Linked DNA regions of Schizosaccharomyces pombe. Changing the gene in region 1 together with any one later gene gives a genetic interaction. Each region holds a gene or a part of one and is shown in the gene's direction. Other genes may lie near its edges. The genes, in order: gpd3, ark1, cwf21 and par2.

The links.
Region 2: mutations in gpd3 (region 1) and ark1 together harm fitness more than expected from each alone (negative genetic interaction), as found in Schizosaccharomyces pombe (one large-scale study listed by BioGRID).
Region 3: mutations in gpd3 (region 1) and cwf21 together harm fitness more than expected from each alone (negative genetic interaction), as found in Schizosaccharomyces pombe (one large-scale study listed by BioGRID).
Region 4: mutations in gpd3 (region 1) and par2 together harm fitness less than expected from each alone (positive genetic interaction), as found in Schizosaccharomyces pombe (one large-scale study listed by BioGRID).

What each region holds. Positions count from the first base shown.
Region 1 is NC_003423.3:576,341-580,626, forward strand, and holds gpd3 (glyceraldehyde 3-phosphate dehydrogenase Gpd3), read left to right. Parts: upstream 1-1,776; 5' UTR 1,777-1,841; intron 1,842-2,384; 5' UTR 2,385-2,390; coding exon 2,391-3,398; 3' UTR 3,399-3,716; downstream 3,717-4,286.
Region 2 is NC_003421.2:139,687-143,670, forward strand, and holds ark1 (Aurora-B kinase Ark1), read left to right. Parts: upstream 1-1,943; 5' UTR 1,944-1,975; coding exon 1,976-3,043; 3' UTR 3,044-3,352; downstream 3,353-3,984. Other genes in the region: serine racemase Sry1, read right to left, coding at 1-507; peptidase Atp23, read right to left, coding at 3,534-3,541, 3,608-3,984. UniProt on the Schizosaccharomyces pombe protein: Component of the chromosomal passenger complex (CPC), a complex that acts as a key regulator of chromosome segregation and cytokinesis.
Region 3 is NC_003424.3:2,561,766-2,566,234, reverse strand, and holds cwf21 (protein Cwf21), read left to right. Parts: upstream 1-1,984; 5' UTR 1,985-2,271; coding exon 2,272-2,274; exon of another isoform or gene 2,275-2,345; coding exon 2,346-3,224; 3' UTR 3,225-3,758; downstream 3,759-4,469. Other genes in the region: rog1 (lipase), read right to left, coding at 1-1,764, 1,929-1,956. UniProt on the Schizosaccharomyces pombe protein: Involved in pre-mRNA splicing. May function at or prior to the first catalytic step of splicing at the catalytic center of the spliceosome. May do so by stabilizing the catalytic center or the position of the RNA substrate.
Region 4 is NC_003424.3:1,333,764-1,339,081, forward strand, and holds par2 (serine/threonine protein phosphatase PP2A regulatory subunit B-56 Par2), read left to right. Parts: upstream 1-1,739; 5' UTR 1,740-2,164; coding exon 2,165-2,557; intron 2,558-2,625; coding exon 2,626-2,869; intron 2,870-2,941; coding exon 2,942-3,138; intron 3,139-3,188; coding exon 3,189-3,583; intron 3,584-3,638; coding exon 3,639-4,293; 3' UTR 4,294-4,639; downstream 4,640-5,318. Other genes in the region: transcription factor TFIIIC subunit Sfc1, read right to left, coding at 1-1,158, 1,267-1,380; geranyltranstransferase Fps1, read right to left, coding at 4,689-5,318. UniProt on the Schizosaccharomyces pombe protein: The B regulatory subunit might modulate substrate selectivity and catalytic activity, and might also direct the localization of the catalytic enzyme to a particular subcellular compartment. Has a role in cell shape control and septum formation.

The sequences.
Region 1 (4,286 bases):
TGACACTCTACGTTAGGATAGTGCACGTTGTTGACACTGCTCGTTATGGAGGACAAGGAAGAAACTAGTTCGGCCGTTTGAAGGGAATGGGAATGGGAATTGAATGAAGAAAGAATGGATTGAAGTAGTCAATTGATTAAAAACTCATATTTTTTTGTGTTACTCATTGACCTTTATGAAGACAACAATTCTGGGTTTCCATTGCTTACAGTGTGTTTCCATAGAGCAAAGTTCTTTTTTGATGGCTTTGTTTTTACGTTGCATTACTGTGTTATTCCTCACTCTCTGTATGTGAGTCTCGCGCTGTTTCAGCTGCTTCCTCCTGCTTCCTTCGGTTCCTTTTCCTTTCTTATCGGACGGTGGCCCGCCAAAATTAATTTCGCCTACATAAAAAGTGACGCAATAGAAACTCTCGGAACCAGTATGGACTTGAGGATGAGCGCATCCCGGACCTTGAAAGGATCCTCGTCGATGGTTGATTCGTCAGCTCATTCACATAAGGTTTCTCTAGAAGGTGAATTAGGGTTCTTTCAATCCGAATCCGCCAACCATCACAAGACCTTGTAACCGCCCCGGAAACTCAAATTGTCCCAACTGCCGATCAATTTTTTCCGAAGAAACAGCTTACGATTAACCGAAGGAACGTCCTGGGCAGTCAAGCGCAGAGGAACATAGTGCAAAGCGTCGTAGTTCAGTATAGTCGGACAGCAGAGTATTGTTGAACTCGATAAAGTAGGGGGGGAGAGAGAGAGAGAAAAAGGAGTGGAAAGTGGTAGTAGGTAAATGAGAGATGTCAATAGAAAGCAAAAACTTTATACAATAACAATCTCAACATCAACGATTTTCCTTTTCCAACTGAATCTCTTTTCCAAACTGTGCACTGTAAACAATTGTTCTATATCTTCTCCTTGTTATTCTATGTCTTCTCCTTCATGTTCCACGTCTAACCCGCTCCCTTCCTACCTTTTCGCTACCCTCCTACCCTCCTACCCTCCTCCATCCTCCCTCACAAACAGATGATGTTAACGAGACTTTGCACCTCGTTATTCCCGAGGAGCCGCTGGGATGCCATGAGCCTTGCTAATAGCCCTGTTAGCACGGTCAAACAAAATCATGCAATTCAATGCAAGAATCGTCAGCCTAACAACAGCTAACTGGGCCAACCCTCTAAACATTCCATTCCATCTAGGCATTGGAAACGCCATTCCAAGGGCGGATTGATGGATGATGGAAGGGACGAGACTGACACACACAGCAGATATACTCGATGACTATTAGTGAAGTGAGTCGATGAATAGTGAAGTAAATGAACATTTTTATAGAATCAATAGAAATGGATTGAATCCAATTGCATTCGAAATTTCACAGTTGACTTGGATTTACCACTTGTCTCATTTCTCCCACTTGTCCTCTTGATTACTATGCTATGCTATGCTATGCTATTCTCTTCTCTTCTTCTTTCCTCTACACTCATTGTTTACATTTCTTTTTCTTTTCCACCGCCATCCCAACTCATCCATTCCATGCCATTCCATCCTTGCCTCTCTCGTTCCTGTCAAGCGAGGCGAGGGAAAGGTCAACGCAATGCGTCGATTGTTGTATGATTATGAGCCAAAAATATTCGCATGGGAAGTTATCTAGAAGGCCGCTAATTTCATTATCCGATCTGCCAAGTACCGAACACGGAAATCGCCGCTTACGATACCGTCGTTGGCATGACAACTCTAGCGTAAACACATACAATATAAATAGGAGTGGTAGGCCAGTCTGCTTCTTTGTAGTATCAAGAAATCAGCAATAGTACTTGTTTGGTTTTGAGAAATAGCAATCGAATTAATTAGGTATGTGATGCGCTGTGGCATTGGCAAAGCATTGGCTTGGTGAGACATGTGACATGTGTCAAACACCTGCCAAGAGGGAAAAATAGATTGAGGAAAAGGAAGGGATATTTTCTTTTGATATTCTCTTTTAGTTGAAAAAGATGGATTTTGAGCGATGAATTGAAATGAAAATGGTCAGTGAGATTGCCAAGAGAAGAGGCTCTCTGATTTTACTTGACATGACGAAAACATGTCATATCCAGTATGGTGAAATTGTACAACGAAGTCGTGATAAGATTCGTTAGTTTCCGTTTCTTTCGGTAAAGAAGGCTTTATTTTTCGCTTGACGGCAGTTTGGTCAGAAATTAAAATAGACTTGCCGAAAGCGACAAAGCTGCTGTTTTTAGTATACTTTCTTTTCTATTCTTCTCTCAATAATGATATCTTTTCTTTTAATGACGCTCATCGTTTCTTCTTCTTCTTCTCTTCGCTTTCTTCCCTCTCTCGCTTCTTTTTGCCTTTTTCTCTCCTCTTTGATCTCTTCTTCTTACTAACTCTTTTCAGATAACAATGGCAATTCCTAAAGTTGGTATCAACGGTTTCGGTCGTATTGGCCGTATCGTCCTCCGTAACGCCATCCTCACTGGCAAGATCCAAGTTGTCGCTGTCAACGATCCTTTCATCGATCTTGACTACATGGCATATATGTTCAAGTACGACTCTACCCACGGTCGCTTTGAGGGCTCCGTTGAGACCAAGGGTGGCAAGCTTGTCATCGACGGTCACTCCATCGATGTCCACAACGAGCGTGACCCCGCCAACATCAAGTGGTCTGCCTCTGGTGCTGAGTACGTTATTGAGTCCACTGGTGTCTTCACTACCAAGGAGACTGCCTCTGCTCACTTGAAGGGTGGTGCCAAGCGTGTCATCATCTCTGCTCCTTCCAAGGATGCTCCCATGTTCGTCGTCGGTGTTAACTTGGAGAAGTTCAACCCCTCCGAGAAGGTTATCTCCAACGCCTCTTGCACCACCAACTGTTTGGCTCCCCTTGCCAAGGTCATCAACGACACCTTCGGTATTGAAGAGGGTCTCATGACCACTGTTCACGCTACCACTGCCACCCAAAAGACCGTTGACGGTCCCTCTAAGAAGGACTGGCGTGGTGGTCGTGGCGCCAGCGCCAACATCATCCCCTCCTCCACTGGTGCCGCCAAGGCCGTCGGTAAGGTTATTCCCGCTCTTAACGGTAAGCTTACCGGTATGGCTTTCCGTGTCCCTACCCCCGATGTTTCCGTTGTTGACTTGACCGTCAAGTTGGCCAAGCCTACCAACTACGAGGACATCAAGGCTGCTATCAAGGCTGCCTCTGAGGGTCCCATGAAGGGTGTGTTGGGTTACACCGAGGACTCTGTTGTCTCCACCGACTTCTGTGGTGACAACCACTCCTCCATCTTCGATGCCTCTGCCGGTATCCAACTTTCTCCTCAATTCGTCAAGCTCGTCTCTTGGTACGATAACGAATGGGGTTACTCCCACCGTGTTGTTGACTTGGTTGCCTACACTGCTTCCAAGGATTAGATTGCTTCTTTCGATTTATTCCGTCGTCAATCTATATCTCTCTAATCAGCCGTTGTTAAACTCCAAGCTATTCAACTGAACATGCGTTCGGTTTTGGGGGGTCTTACATATGTGCGAACTTTTGGTTTTTTATTCTTATGCTTGTTTTCCCCCTTTTCCTTTTCTGGGGTTTGCTACGATAATGATAGACATGTATGAGATTTTCCTCTTTTATTCCACGTTATCATTTTGATTGCGCTCCTAGGGCGATCTCTATAGCTGACGACCTTTCTACGAAATAGATTAAGATATAATTTTAAATGAATTGTTTTTTCTTCACTTGTTTTTAATGTGTAAAAAATCCGTAAAGTATGTGGTGTATGAAAATTTTGATTTGAAATGTGGTAGTTTATTGGAGGTAAAAAAGGTAGACTGATTTATAAAGCATTATATAGTTATCATAGTTGCTTGTTAGCATTCTATTACCGTTTGCATTTGAGATAATTGTTTTCGTCTTGATGATAGATATTCGCTAAGATGTTTCCATAAACTTGGCCCACGCTTTTTTGGGTGAAGTAAATAATTTTTCAGTCCTTTTGAGGGCCTCTGCTGCCTATCTTTACTGCCCCTATTTGCAAGTTTCTAGAATGGAAGTGTAAGTCAAACGATAAGAAAAATTATATATTAATAGATAGCAATTTAAATTTAGCATTTTCATTCTTAGTGTTCGTTCACTCCACTTTCCAGATCAATCTCAGACCATCAAGTATGATGATGAAAGCGAGTGTTCCATTTAGGCGGTTCTCGCAACTCTTAATGTTTGATACTTAGAGCTGTTTGTGCTTCAGAAAATTATTCAAAAAATTTCATGCTTGCATTTGATTCTTTTCTGGATAACAGCTAATCCTG
Region 2 (3,984 bases), on another chromosome or scaffold:
AAACAGTTCCTTAGCTGCGGTTCCTTGACCAGCAAGTACATGGGGGTGATCGTAAGGAGGGATAATGGTAAGACCTTCTCTTTCAGAAATTTCTTTGGCCATCTTTTCTCTATCATCTTTGTATCTATCATACATGATTACTTGACCACCATAGCCTTTCGTGGCAGCGACCTTGGCTTCGGGTGCATCGAGTGGCATAATGATTTTTGCTGGAATTCCCAAGATCTTTGCCGACAGTGCAATGGCCTGAGCATGATTACCAGAAGAAAACGTCAAAACACCAGCTTTACGTTGAGCTTCATTGAGTTGAGAAAGAGCATTAAGGGCACCGCGAAATTTGAAAGCACCCATTTTTTGGAAATTTTCACATTTAAAAAACACTTCTGCCACAAACTCTTTATTTACTGTGCTCGACGTGAGTACTGGGGTTTTGTTGGCGAATTTCTTAATTCGCTCACTAGCTGAAGCAACATCATCATAGGTAGGAAGCACCAGGTTATCGCTCATTGTCGTAGTTTTTTAAAAATTTAAAAAGAGTGAAAATATCCTTTTATTCTGTAAACTATTCAGTCTTAAAATGCAAACTGAAGAATTTAACGACAATGAGAGATGTCAAATCAAGCAGAGCTCTCGATCATTTATAGAGAGAACCGTCAACTGTAACGCTATCTTATCTTTACTATGAAAAGAAGGTCAAAAAATGCGAGCCCAACTCGGAAACGAATTTATAGGCGACAATTGTAAAGACACTTACACAATTAGAACCAAATGGAAATGAAACAGCAGGACGGAGCTCCAACTTGCTAGTTCATAAAACAGTGACATGTAGCATAGCGAGTATAATGCTAATCACTATTTGTAGTATTCCTCTGTAATAAATGTTAACATTATATAGTGAGAATTTCAAGATGTAGAAACAGTCTGTTAAGAGTGTCATAGAATATAACGAAAATGCATGTATAACAATTGTTTCGACTCATTGAGTGCCAGAATAGTAACGTCTTTCTACCTTTAGCGTGATGAACAGTCATGCAGCATTGGTTAAATATATCAATAGTTTGAACCAAGCCTCGTTAATTTCTGTAAACTGTATCTGCTCAGCAATGGACTTGACTGCAGCTTAAATCAGTTTAGAAATAAATATCCAACAAACGGTGTTTTGACTTTCACATTACTATGCATATAACTCGTTACTAAAGAGTTCTTTTTTTTTATGAGAAATCTTAATCAAGAATGAAAAAGCTGATAATTAATGCTAAAACAATCGCAGAATTATATAATCCGTCATGGTCCAGTGGCTAGGATTCATCGCTCTCACCGATGCGGCGGGGGTTCGATTCCCCCTGACGGAGATTTTTTATCGTGTACTTTTCTAAATTGATTGAGAAATACGATAATTTATTATCAACTACAATTGTTAATTCACTTTTCGGTCCTTTTCTTTTGGTGTTACTCTACTTACTGAATTCTTTTCTTTTCTTGTTAGTTAGCACTGTCTCCTTCTGAAGCGTTAATATTGTAAGTATTCTATAACTAGTATTGAATAGTTCACTGTATATCGTTATTCGGTAAACAAACAGTGGACACATTGAAAAGAATAAAAAACAGATACTAAATATACTTTTAAGCCTGTGGTATTGGGATGATATAGAATATTCTGTTTGTTTTCCTTTTATTTATTTTGTTGAGAACGATACATGTCGTTTTTTTTAATAACATTTGTAGAATCGAAGTGGGTTCGTATGCTAAATAAATTCGTTCATAATTTCCATGTAAATAATCTTTGAAACACCCTTTGAGTATTCATAAATAACAACGGGAATCAGAGCCTCCTTCTTAGTTTGAAAGAAAGGAAGATAATAGCAGGCTGTGTTAAGACTCAGTAAACATGGTGTTACCTCAAAATGTAAACAACAACGCTCCTACTTCTGGACGAACTTGTCAAAAGCCAACATCAGCGTTTTTTTACGAAATAATGTCAGATTCAAAGTTGGCAGATTCTTTGAATTGCCTTTCTGTGTCAACTCCATCAACCACAGCTAATCCTGGGAGACAACAGCTTTTACGACTTGCAGTATCAAACCAACGACAAGTAAATAATGTTAGTCTAGCAAATGGGAAGGAAAACAAACGGACTTCAAATAGCAAGTTCAATTCTTCCCTTCGTAAGATAGAAGAGCCAATTGCTGGAGTACCTTCATCAGCTGGTCCTCAATGGCGAGAATTTCATATTGGAATGTTTGAAATTGGAAAACCCTTAGGGAAAGGAAAGTTTGGAAGGGTATATCTAGCTAAAGAGAAGAAGACCGGGTTTATTGTGGCTCTCAAAACATTGCATAAGTCTGAACTTGTCCAGTCAAAGATAGAAAAGCAAGTTCGACGAGAAATTGAGATTCAATCAAATCTTCGCCATAAAAACATTTTACGGCTATATGGGCACTTTCATGATGAAAAAAGGATTTATTTGATTTTAGAGTTTGCTGGCAGGGGTGAGTTGTATCAACACTTGCGTCGTGCAAAACGATTCTCAGAAGAAGTTGCGTCTAAATATATCTTCCAAATGGCTAACGCCTTATCCTACTTGCATAAGAAGCATGTAATACACCGTGATATCAAACCTGAGAACATTTTATTAGGAATTGATGGAGAAATCAAGCTTTCTGACTTTGGTTGGAGTGTCCATGCACCTTCTAACCGTCGTACCACTTTATGTGGTACATTAGATTACTTACCACCTGAAATGGTGGAGGGAAAAGAGCATACCGAAAAAGTTGATCTCTGGTCGTTGGGTGTCTTAACTTATGAGTTTTTGGTGGGAGCACCGCCTTTTGAGGACATGTCTGGTCATTCAGCTACGTATAAGCGTATCGCCAAAGTTGACTTAAAAATTCCAAGCTTTGTTCCTCCTGATGCACGGGATCTTATTTCTCGTCTATTACAGCATAATCCTGAAAAAAGAATGAGTTTGGAACAAGTTATGAGGCACCCTTGGATTGTAAAATATAAAGATTCATGGACTCGCAAAAGTTCTGAATCTTCCTAACCGCCATCTTGGTACTTTTTATTTAATTTTTCCTTCTTCTCACTACATTTTTGCATTACTACTTTCTTTTTGTTTCAGCGCTCTTTTTAATCGCGCAGCTCACTATATTCCTTCAGAACTTTTTTGATCTTTGGGGGTTATGGAGGTTTAATTATATGTAATATAACACACTCATTTAATAGAGGATCACCACCATAAACTAATCGTTTTCCAGATTTTCTTTTCGAAATCACTTAGAAGACATTCATTTTCCTAATAAAAACTATTTAAAAATTTATCATCACTTTAGCCAAGCTAATAATAACTTCCAAAAAAACTGTTACAATATGTATAAAGATAAAGTACGCCAAGCACATAATAAGTTGCATAACAAGTGAGAAGTATGCTTCGATATTTTTTAAAAGCCAACGTAAATGCTGTACGGGATATTATAAAATGGGAGGGGAAGGGAGTTGACATAATAACTATCTGACTTTTGTAAACTGGTATTTCAATAGACTAGACGAAAGAATGAATAGTTAGTACGAAGAAAAAAATGAATGAACAAAACTACAGCGAACGTACTTTTTTCAAAAGGCCTGAAATCGTTGAAACAGGAATTGAACACTTCTTCAACGATTGCTTCTGCTTGCTCTTTGCTTTTACAATTCGGGTTACCTTGTACGGAGATAGTAGCTCGTCGTTTGACGCATTCTTGATGATGCTTCCGAAAAGTTTTAATGTTACCAAAACGAAGTTCTTTGGTCCAGCGACACTCACCACTCATACTACTAGCACGAATTTCTGAACAAGCCTGATGTCTCAAATTGTTCCAATCGACTTCAAACCTGTGGTCGTCAAACATGTGTATCATTTCATGGGCAATTGTATTCTCTGCCATTTTTTTAGTATAAAGTCTGTTTTCACACAGAACTATCCCTTTACCGGGAATGTAACCTCCA
Region 3 (4,469 bases), on another chromosome or scaffold:
TTTCATCCTCATTTTTTACTAATGGAATTTCAGTATCTGTAGTTTTGGATGCCGAATAACTGAACAATCCTACAAAGGATTTAAGAGCTTTAGAAAATGAAGATCCAGATTCTTCTGAAGAAGCATGGATTTTCTTTGCATTATCTCCGACACTTTGAACTGTTTGCTCATTTTCTTTTAGTGTTGGTGAAATGCCATTTTCCATATGCGTAGGCATAACCTTATCTGAACCCTCAGCTTCCTCTACCTTACCCAAAGAACTAACTTCCATTGCGCTAGTTCCAAAAGGGACGATATAGTCATTGGTAGTATTTGCAAATAATATTCTTTTTTCAAAAAACGAAACAGCTTGAAAGAAAGGCGTGGAAGGATCAGACATCAAAACAAGGAAAGGTCTTGATTCAATGGAGTGATTCAGTGGAGTTAAAGATAAGTCTTGTCCTGTCTTACCAATGATACCATAGGACAAAGCCTTACCAATATAAGAAGGATGTTCACCAGCAACACCGAGCCAAGGAGTTGCCAAAGTTACAAAAAACACAGGGTGAATAGCCTGAAAAAAGGCACCGTGCGTTTTTGCATGTACATAACCAACAGCATATGTTTGAACCAATCCACCAAGTGAGTGGGCGACAACTGATATATGGGAATATCGAGGAAAAGATGCACTTCCCCAGCCCGTAATATCCAACAGCCATTCACCAAGTCGTTTACCCAGCCAGCGAACCCCTTTCTCAGTCTGACAGTAGTTACCGGTAAATCCTCGAACAACTACTAGTTCCTTAACAGATTTTGATGATTCTATTAGTTTTTCTTTTAAATACTCCATATCAGCACCAACATTAGAATGCATTCCATGAGTTAGCACCACCAAATGTGAATTCTTTGAATGAAATGAAGAATACGGAAGACGCCATAAATTTTCCGGAGTTTGATGTTCAACGTGTAGAGCAGGGAATGCATGAAGAGTATCGATATCAGCAGCTGACATGGCTCGAATGGAATGTTGAGATTGCGATATAGCAAGCTCAAAGTTAATAGATCTATCTTTAAAAATCGCCTGACTTGCAATTTCAATGTAAATAGGCTGCTGATTGGAAAAACATGAATAAGGTACACAGACCCAAAAACTAGTAGAGGGCTGTACCTGAGGATCAAAGTTTAATAAAGAATTTTTTTCATCAAAAAATTGGTCATTCCAAACGCTAACGCATAATGTAAATGGACCTTGAAGATAGGCTGCCTGGCGGAAACGTGCTTCTCTATTCCTGACACGAATCCAAAGTACCGAGTTAGTCGAATTTATGAAGGGAGCTGTAGAGTCGCTTCCTGCCAAGGGATTTTTTACTTCACGAAGATTAATAGAAGAGAATGAAGTACCTACAGAAGGAGAAGAAGAGGTATGAGAGACACCTCTTGTTTGTTCAGGTATGTTGATTGCATTGGTATTATCTGTAAACGCACCAACTTTATGATAATCTTTTGAAGAAGATGAAAAATCGCTGGAAAGAAGAGGTGAGGATTCTGAATTTGCATGCTTCGGATTCGTGCTACTATTATTCTCTGAGATTTGCTTGCTGATATTCTCCCCACTAGAGATTGTCATCCCACCTGAACCTGCTCTATCCTCGATGCTACCACTCTCTTTCTTAGTCACTGAATTGAGGTTCACAGTGGGGGGCACAGTTGTAGAAGACGTTGCCGAATGCAAATTGCCCCCACTCTGCACAAAAATTCGAAATCGATGTATTTGACCTAAACCAACTGTACCATGCCAATGTTAGAACAAGTATTAAATATTTATATGCCATCCCAAAATTTTTGCATCGAAACAAGCATAACAAATCGAAACTTTAAATAACGAGCTGATAATATCAACTTGCAAATACAATTTAAAGGAGTGGTAAATTTTGTTTAAAGTAACTTACCGTCATCTCGTTGTACATATACATTCATAATGTCAGAAGTCAAGCGATGACAACTCAAAAACTAGTAAATCTGAAAATTAGCTATTCGTGAAAGGTGAGAGATATCAATTATTTTTCAATACCGGTCAACGAATAGGGATAAAATTTTATCTGTTTCAATTAGTAAATCGCTAGTTGCTCATATCACGTAAAAAGTAACGCGAATTTATCAGTGTCCTACCGGTAAAATTTGTTCGCTCGATTCCTTTGTTAGACTAGCTGTTCGACGAACCTATATAAACTCAGTTTTTCTAATTTTTGAGCAAAAGCAAAAATCGAACGACTTCACGGGAAATAAAGCAAGATGGTAAGAGATGCATAAAAAGCTTTCTTTAATGAAGAAGACACCAAAATTGAGTCCTTTGCTAACAATTAAAGTCGTATAATGGAATTGGATTACCCACTCCAAGAGGATCAGGAACAAATGGATACGTAATGCGGAATCTGTCTCACGTAAAAAAATATGACAAAAATACAAATCTACAGTCAAATCGAAATGCAAAAGCTCTGGAAAAACGGGTTCAAGATCCTTCAATAAGCGAGCATGAATGCCGTCGACAAATTGAGTCGAAGTTGTTGTTGTACAGAGAGCAGTTGTTGGAGGAGGTCAGTTCCCAACACAGCACTGATGCAGCGGCATCTGATTCCAATACAAATTTTGGGACTGAAAACCCGAAGCCACCTAAAGCAATTATAAAAGATGAGCAATCACAATCGAAAACTAAATCTTTAGATGAAGCTGATGTAGAAATTTTAGTACAAAAATATCGAGAACAGTTACTTAAAGAATTGCAATTACAAAAATCTACTGAAAAAGGAAAAAATTTTGAATCCATTCTTCAACCTCAGAAAAGAAAAGAAACAAGAGGATTTCACTCGAAAAATGACGATGATGGGCGATTAGAAGAAAGAGACGATTTGAGATCATCAGTTGACGATGATTATTATGATTACCCGCGTTATTCCGAGAGGAAATCATTAAATTCAAAAAGGCATGTGGACAATTACAATGAAAATAGAAGAAGACATTACGATTCGTATTCCTCCTACGATGAATTAGAAAGACGACGGAGTAGTAATGAAAGTTACTCAAGGCGTTCTGAATTACCCAGAAGAGATTATAATAGACACGATGAACGGGAAAGGTATTCTTATCATAGAAGGAGAGAAAGAAGCAATTCACCCTCCTATACGAAGAATGAGTCAATTCCTGTTGTGGACAGGGATTCCTCTCCTGAGGGTGGCGAAATTGTATGAGGCCCAAAGAGTTAGGCCAGTTAAAACAATAATATAATAGGCAATTCATGCAAGCATGTATTGTTTATTAATATTGGATAATTATTCGGGTCATCAACAATCGTTGGATTAATATGAATATTTGGTTAGCAATACACGTTAGTCAAATCCCATGAAGCACACGACTGTTCAATGATATAAAAAATATTATTCTTCAAAGAAAAAATACTATCGACTTTATATTAAGGCTGTTAAGTTGCACGATTTAAACATCATTTGATATTTTTCTTTTTCACGGAGGGATAATGAAGCAATTTTAAATTTACAATTACGCTTTTACATTTGTATTTTAAATTCATTAATTAAGCATAAAAGAATCTTTTTAATAAAGATTTTCGAGATTATTCACGCGATTTTAGTCAAAGTAGCTCTTGGCGGCTTTGTTTTCCTGCATACTGTAAATCTCAGAGCTTTTATACCAATAATGTTTATTATATATATTTTACAAAATGAACTTGCTTTAAAGCAATATTAATTATATAATAAAACCAATTTATAAAAAAAATTATAATATAAGTTTAATTATAAATAATACAATTTTTATTTTCTGATGATCTTCGGATCACTTTGGTCAAATTGAAACGATACAGAGAAGATTGTAAGTAACAATATTTACCAAGGTTCGAGTCATACTAACTCGTTGTTTAGAGCATGGCCCCTGCACAAGGATGACACTGCGACATTGAGAGAAAACCCATTTTTTTTTCTAAACAAAATTAATCATACATTCAAATCTTGATTTCCAATCGCTTTAACTTTTTTAAAATAAATATCTATTGTTTCATATAACTTTCAATTTCCTAGATACTACAGTACATTAAACACGTATTACAACTTCTTGCTAAGTCGCAAAGCATTAATTAATTAGTTTTCTGTAGATAATTGAAAAGAAAAAAAACATTTTTTCATCGAAATTTTTTATTGGACAGGTAAATATATTTAACGCGATTACTCTATCGAAATCTGAATTAAAAACTAGTTAAAAATTTTCGACTAGCTTGTTTGTTACTATCGCCAATATACCAAGCTTTGTTCACAAAGCAATTGACTAGATGTAGGTTCATATAGCATATTATACGAATTGGCAGCATCAATGGGTAGGAACAGTGAGCTCGTATTTCACTTTAACGTCTCAAACGGAGCAAAGTTAGCCTCTTCTAAACATTATCAGCATTGGTCATTCCTGACTCCCTTCTATGTTCATAT
Region 4 (5,318 bases), on another chromosome or scaffold:
ATTTATCCGATCATCTGTTGCTGAAGTATTCAAACCTCTAACAGTATCATTTAAATCTGTATTATCCTGTTCATCAAAATTCGAATATCTGTCAGATTCCTCTACCTCTTCGGCGTTTAAAATCATATTCACCGCGACTTCAGAAGGCATTTCTCCTTCGATCAGCGCAAAGAGTTTTTCACGCATAAGATCTCTAACCTTATAGTAACGACCGCTTCTATACCATCCTGTGTCCCGATGACATTCAGAACGTAACTGAGTATCTTTCAGTAGTGGTGCAATTGTGGGATCTACGATATCGCACACTTGATAAACACGATTAGTGGGAAACAAAGTCTTGCCATCAAACACGTGAGTTTTAGTCCCTTTATGTTTTCCATTTAGCTTGAGTTTAAAGAACAAAGCTTGGTAAGCAGCTGCATTAGAATCTTTTCTAGGATCGTATCCAAACCGCGTATATGTATCTCTAAATGGACCTGAAGTCCATAAATAAGAAAGGTAAGGAAGAGCAAATTTCAAATAGTGAGTATATGACGGGTCTAGATGATTTAATAAGGCTCTTCTCGTCCAAACGGGTCGTTTTTCAAAAAGAGGTTTTAAAGCTTCTATAACTTCCTGAATTGTCTTCGAAGGCTCACCTAATTTTGAGTGTCTACATGTAGGTACACTTTCAACCCCCATATTTGTAGTGATAATCCAAACTCTGCATTGACCTTTTAGATTGACTATTGTAGTTTTCCCATTAGGTAGCCGAACTCGACCTACTAGTGGATTTTGCAAGAAGTTATAAGACATGGGTAGACTTGTCTGAGAGAAAACAGGAGGAGGAGGCATGTCGACATGTTTTCTTTGTACCGGAGTTAGATCGATGGAAAACTTATTAATGGCGTTATAGTCAAGCACTCGCAGAGTGGAATCTAATTTTTGAACGAATGGTGAATTTTGAGTACTATACTGGAAATCAGCCATATCTCTGAATAAGAAAACTTGACGAATTCTACTGACATTTTGCACAGAGTTGTCCATTTTTTTAATCGTTACTAATAGGTCATTTCTGGATTGCACTCGAGCTTGTACTGGATGATGGTATTTATCTTTAGGCCTTAGATTCAACTCCAACAGAGCTTGTTTTGGGTTTTGAAATGAAGTTTGACATGCCTAGAAATTGTTAGTATTAGGTCAAAAAAGATTATCAAATTCATGTTTTATAAAAGGGGAAGCTTAAAGATGTAAGCCGGTCATTCCTATACTTTTTTAGCAATTTACCTTTTGAATTGATTGAACACCGCCTAATGTCTGAAAAAATGCATCCTTGTTATTAGCAAAGCCCGGATGCTCAATGAGTGCATATTCATTGTCAGAAATTTTTAGACTATTCATAAGATATATGCCTAATATGGTATGCTATAAAACACTGGAAAAAGTAGGGCAAAGACTTTATATATATTTGCTTTTAAAGTAATTTAATTAATAATCTGGATAACTTATTCCTCAAATGAAAAATTAATTGATACACATCAATATCATTGCTTCAAAAGCATTTTAATTTTTTGGCAGCTAAAATAATGTTGTTCCAAACCTCGGACATCGTACAACAATACAGTAACATCATAACACAAGATTTTTGCCGATCCGTTAATTCACAGTACCAGCCAATTTCCCAAGTACGTTATTTCATACTACCAGCCTTCGGTAGCGTCCCATAACATTCGAGCCACTCGCCCCGTTTTGCTTCATTTGCCAAACATAACTCATAGTAAAGTTGTCATTACAGGAAGTTTCAAGGTTAACCCTCTTAACTATTCCCTAGGGTGTTTAGCTTATATACCCATCTTATAAAGGGGCTCAGAATTCTGTTACCGAGGTTGTTGCCGTTAACTCTTTGACTTGCCGAGACATATTTACGGAGTACTTGAAAGGAACAAATCATTTATTTACCCACCACATAAATTTACCCTTTTCTAACTCATCATTGTGTACAAATTTATTAACAGACGTTCTTTTGAAGAAAGACAACGTTTACATATTCAGTAATAGGTGCATTCATTTAAGTTTCGAAATTACATTCGGTCCCAATCCTAGGAATCATTCGTTTTTTAAATTTGGTTATTCGCTATCTTTATAACTTGCAATTGAGCAAGGAAATCATCTCATTTGCCTTTTAATGAAAGGATTAAGGAGTAAATTTGTAAAAGCACTTTCGTTGAAGGATGAACAAGGGTCACATAAAAATGGTCATTCAAAAAGCCACTATATCTCTAAAAATGGGTCTTACGTGGAAACTGACGACGTGAAGCACACAGACACTCACCATTCTTCAAAACACGAGCTTAAAAAACTTAAGAGTCATTTCCTAAAAGATACTTTAAAGCACAAACGAAATCATCATGCCAACTCAAATAATGAAAAACATGAAAATTCTGATAAAAAAATACATACGACGGTTCTAGCATCTGGACATGAGGATTCTGATTACTCTACGTTTTTGCCCGTAATTGAAACTTCTAAAGTTAAAGACGCCAACCATTTCCCACCTAATTATCCAGAACCAAAAAATGTAAGTATACGTCGGTTAGTTTAATATTTTCTACCAAAATGATTATTTTCATACTAACTTACTTGTAGGATTCTGTATCGTCTAACATAGACGAATTTCCTAATGATTCCATATCTTCTGCCTCATTTTTATCTGTCCCACAATCCACTCCTCCTTATTTAGTTTCACAGCCAACTCCCTTAAATAAATTTTTAGCAGGTGCTGAGAATGTTGACATTCCGCATAGTCTTAGACCAGTACCTCGACGCGAACACTCCTCTCAATTTCAAGTATCTGAGAAAAGAACATTAGTTCGGTTGCCTTCATTTGATGGTACGTTTAGTAAGATTCTTATATCTTATTTTAATAATGTACTTTTTTTTATTCTTGTGCTAATATAATTAGATGTTCATACCTCTGAACGTGAAGAACTGTTTATAAAGAAGCTTGAACAATGCAATATTATTTTCGATTTTAATGATCCATCTTCCGATTTGGCTAGCAAAGAAATAAAAAGAGAAGCCTTATTACAAATGATAGATTATGTGTCTGAAAACCGCGGTATTTCTTCCGCATCGCTTTTTCCTTATGTTGTCAATACAGTATGTTTACTCCTCTGCTTTTTATTACTGTAAAAATCTAATCACTATAGTTTTCCCTCAATGTATTTCGGCCTATATCACCTGCTCTTAATGATTATTCATCAGATATGTTTGCTTTAGACGATGAGCCTTTTTTGGAGCCAGCGTGGCCTCACTTGGAAGAGGTGTATTTATTATTTATTAAGTTCCTAGAATCTCCTGACTTTAGAGCCAGTAAAGCAAAATCGCTCGTTGATCGTAGGTTTTTTAATCGCTTGCTAGCACTATTTGACACAGAAGACCCGCGTGAGCGCGAACTTCTGAAAACAACATTACATAGGATTTACGGAAAATTTCTGAACCTTAGGTCATACATTAGAAAGTCTATGAATAATGTTTTTTTGCAATTCATTTATGAACGAGAAAAATTTCATGGAATCGCTGAACTACTGGAGATACTTGGAAGGTATGTTTCATTAATGGTTATAGTTCCTAAATTGATTTACAAACTAACTTATTAGTATTATTAATGGATTTGCTGTACCTTTAAAAGAAGAACATAAAATATTTTTGTCCAAAGTGCTTATTCCTTTACATCAAACTAAATCTGTTTTTTTATACCATCCCCAACTTACGTATTGCATTGTTCAGTTTATCGATAAAGATCCTTCTTTAACGAAGGCAGTCTTGACTGGCATTCTTAAGTACTGGCCACGAATAAACAGCTTTAAAGAATTACTGTTTTTGAATGAAATTGAAGATATCTTTGAAGTTTTGGAGCCTTCCGAATTTGTTAATATAATGTCCCCTTTATTTCAGCAACTAGCTCGCTCAATATCTAGTATGCATTTCCAGGTCGCCGAACGTGCCTTATGTCTGTGGAGCAATGAGTACTTCACAAGTCTTGTCAGCCAAAACGTAGTAACCCTTCTCCCTATAATATATCCTTCTCTTTACAAAACTGCTAATGAGCATTGGAATAGCACTATACAAGCTATTGCTTGTAATGTTTTACAAATTTTTGTCGATATGGATGCGGACTTTTTTAATGGACTTGTTGAGGATTATAAACAGGCCATTATAAAGCAAGAAGAAGTTATGATTATTAGAAAACAGCAATGGTGTCAGATTGAGGCATTAGCGGCGGAAAACAAACCCACTGATTATTTAAGATAATTCCTTCGTAAGGAATATGTTTATATATGTTACAACTATTTGGTCGCGGCAGAGAATAAAGTTTATTTAATTTGTAATCTTTAGAAATTCCCTGTTTATACGCGTAAACGCCAATTGGGATTCATTTTGTTTTTGCTATCTTTTATACACCGCATTTTATATACTAGTGTCAAGATTCATTTTGGAGTCGTATTACCACCTTTTGTTACATATTTTAATACGCCTCATGAGAACTGGATTTTTAATGATATAAGTTATGTAGTATTTTGCAGGTCCTTTACCAATACAATGATTCAATATTAAAAGTTGGTATTGTCAACAATGGATGTATTCTCTAAAAAGTATCTACAGCGCAATTGCCAATTTGAGTCGAATAAAAACATAGAACAAGAAATTTACTTATTTCTTTTGTAAATCTTTCCTAAGAAAGTGGTAAATATGGATTTTTTCAAACCGGTTGATTCATCAACTCCATCAATTAGCTTTTTGATTTCAGAAACTTCTGATTCCTCATAGTTCTCGAATTCACCACGGATATTGAGTTCCTCAAAAACAGCTTTAACTCTCTTTTCGCTTTCGCTATCTTTACGTCCATAATTGTCGTCCAAAATAACACGTTGTTCAGGAGTACACTTTGCGAGAGCAAGATTGATAATCCAAGAACATTTGTTGTCTAAAATATCAGTCCCAATTTTACCAGTTACCGTAGGATCACCATAGCAATCTAAATAATCATCTTGAACTTGGAAGTATTTACCAAGGATAATAAGGATGTCTTGGGCGCATTTCAAGTTCTCAGGAGTAGCTACACCAGCGAGATGCATTGCCAATGCGACAGGCAAATAAAAGGAATAAAATGCAGTCTTGTAAATTACAATGAAAGAATGCTTTTGAAGAGAAAACTTCGAAAGATCGACGGAGTCTTCGGGAGCAGTAAGTAAATCGAGTTGCTGCCCTAATTCCGTTTGAAAAGTTACGTCGTGGAAAAGTTCAATTAGATCAACGTAGCATGACTCTTGACGAAA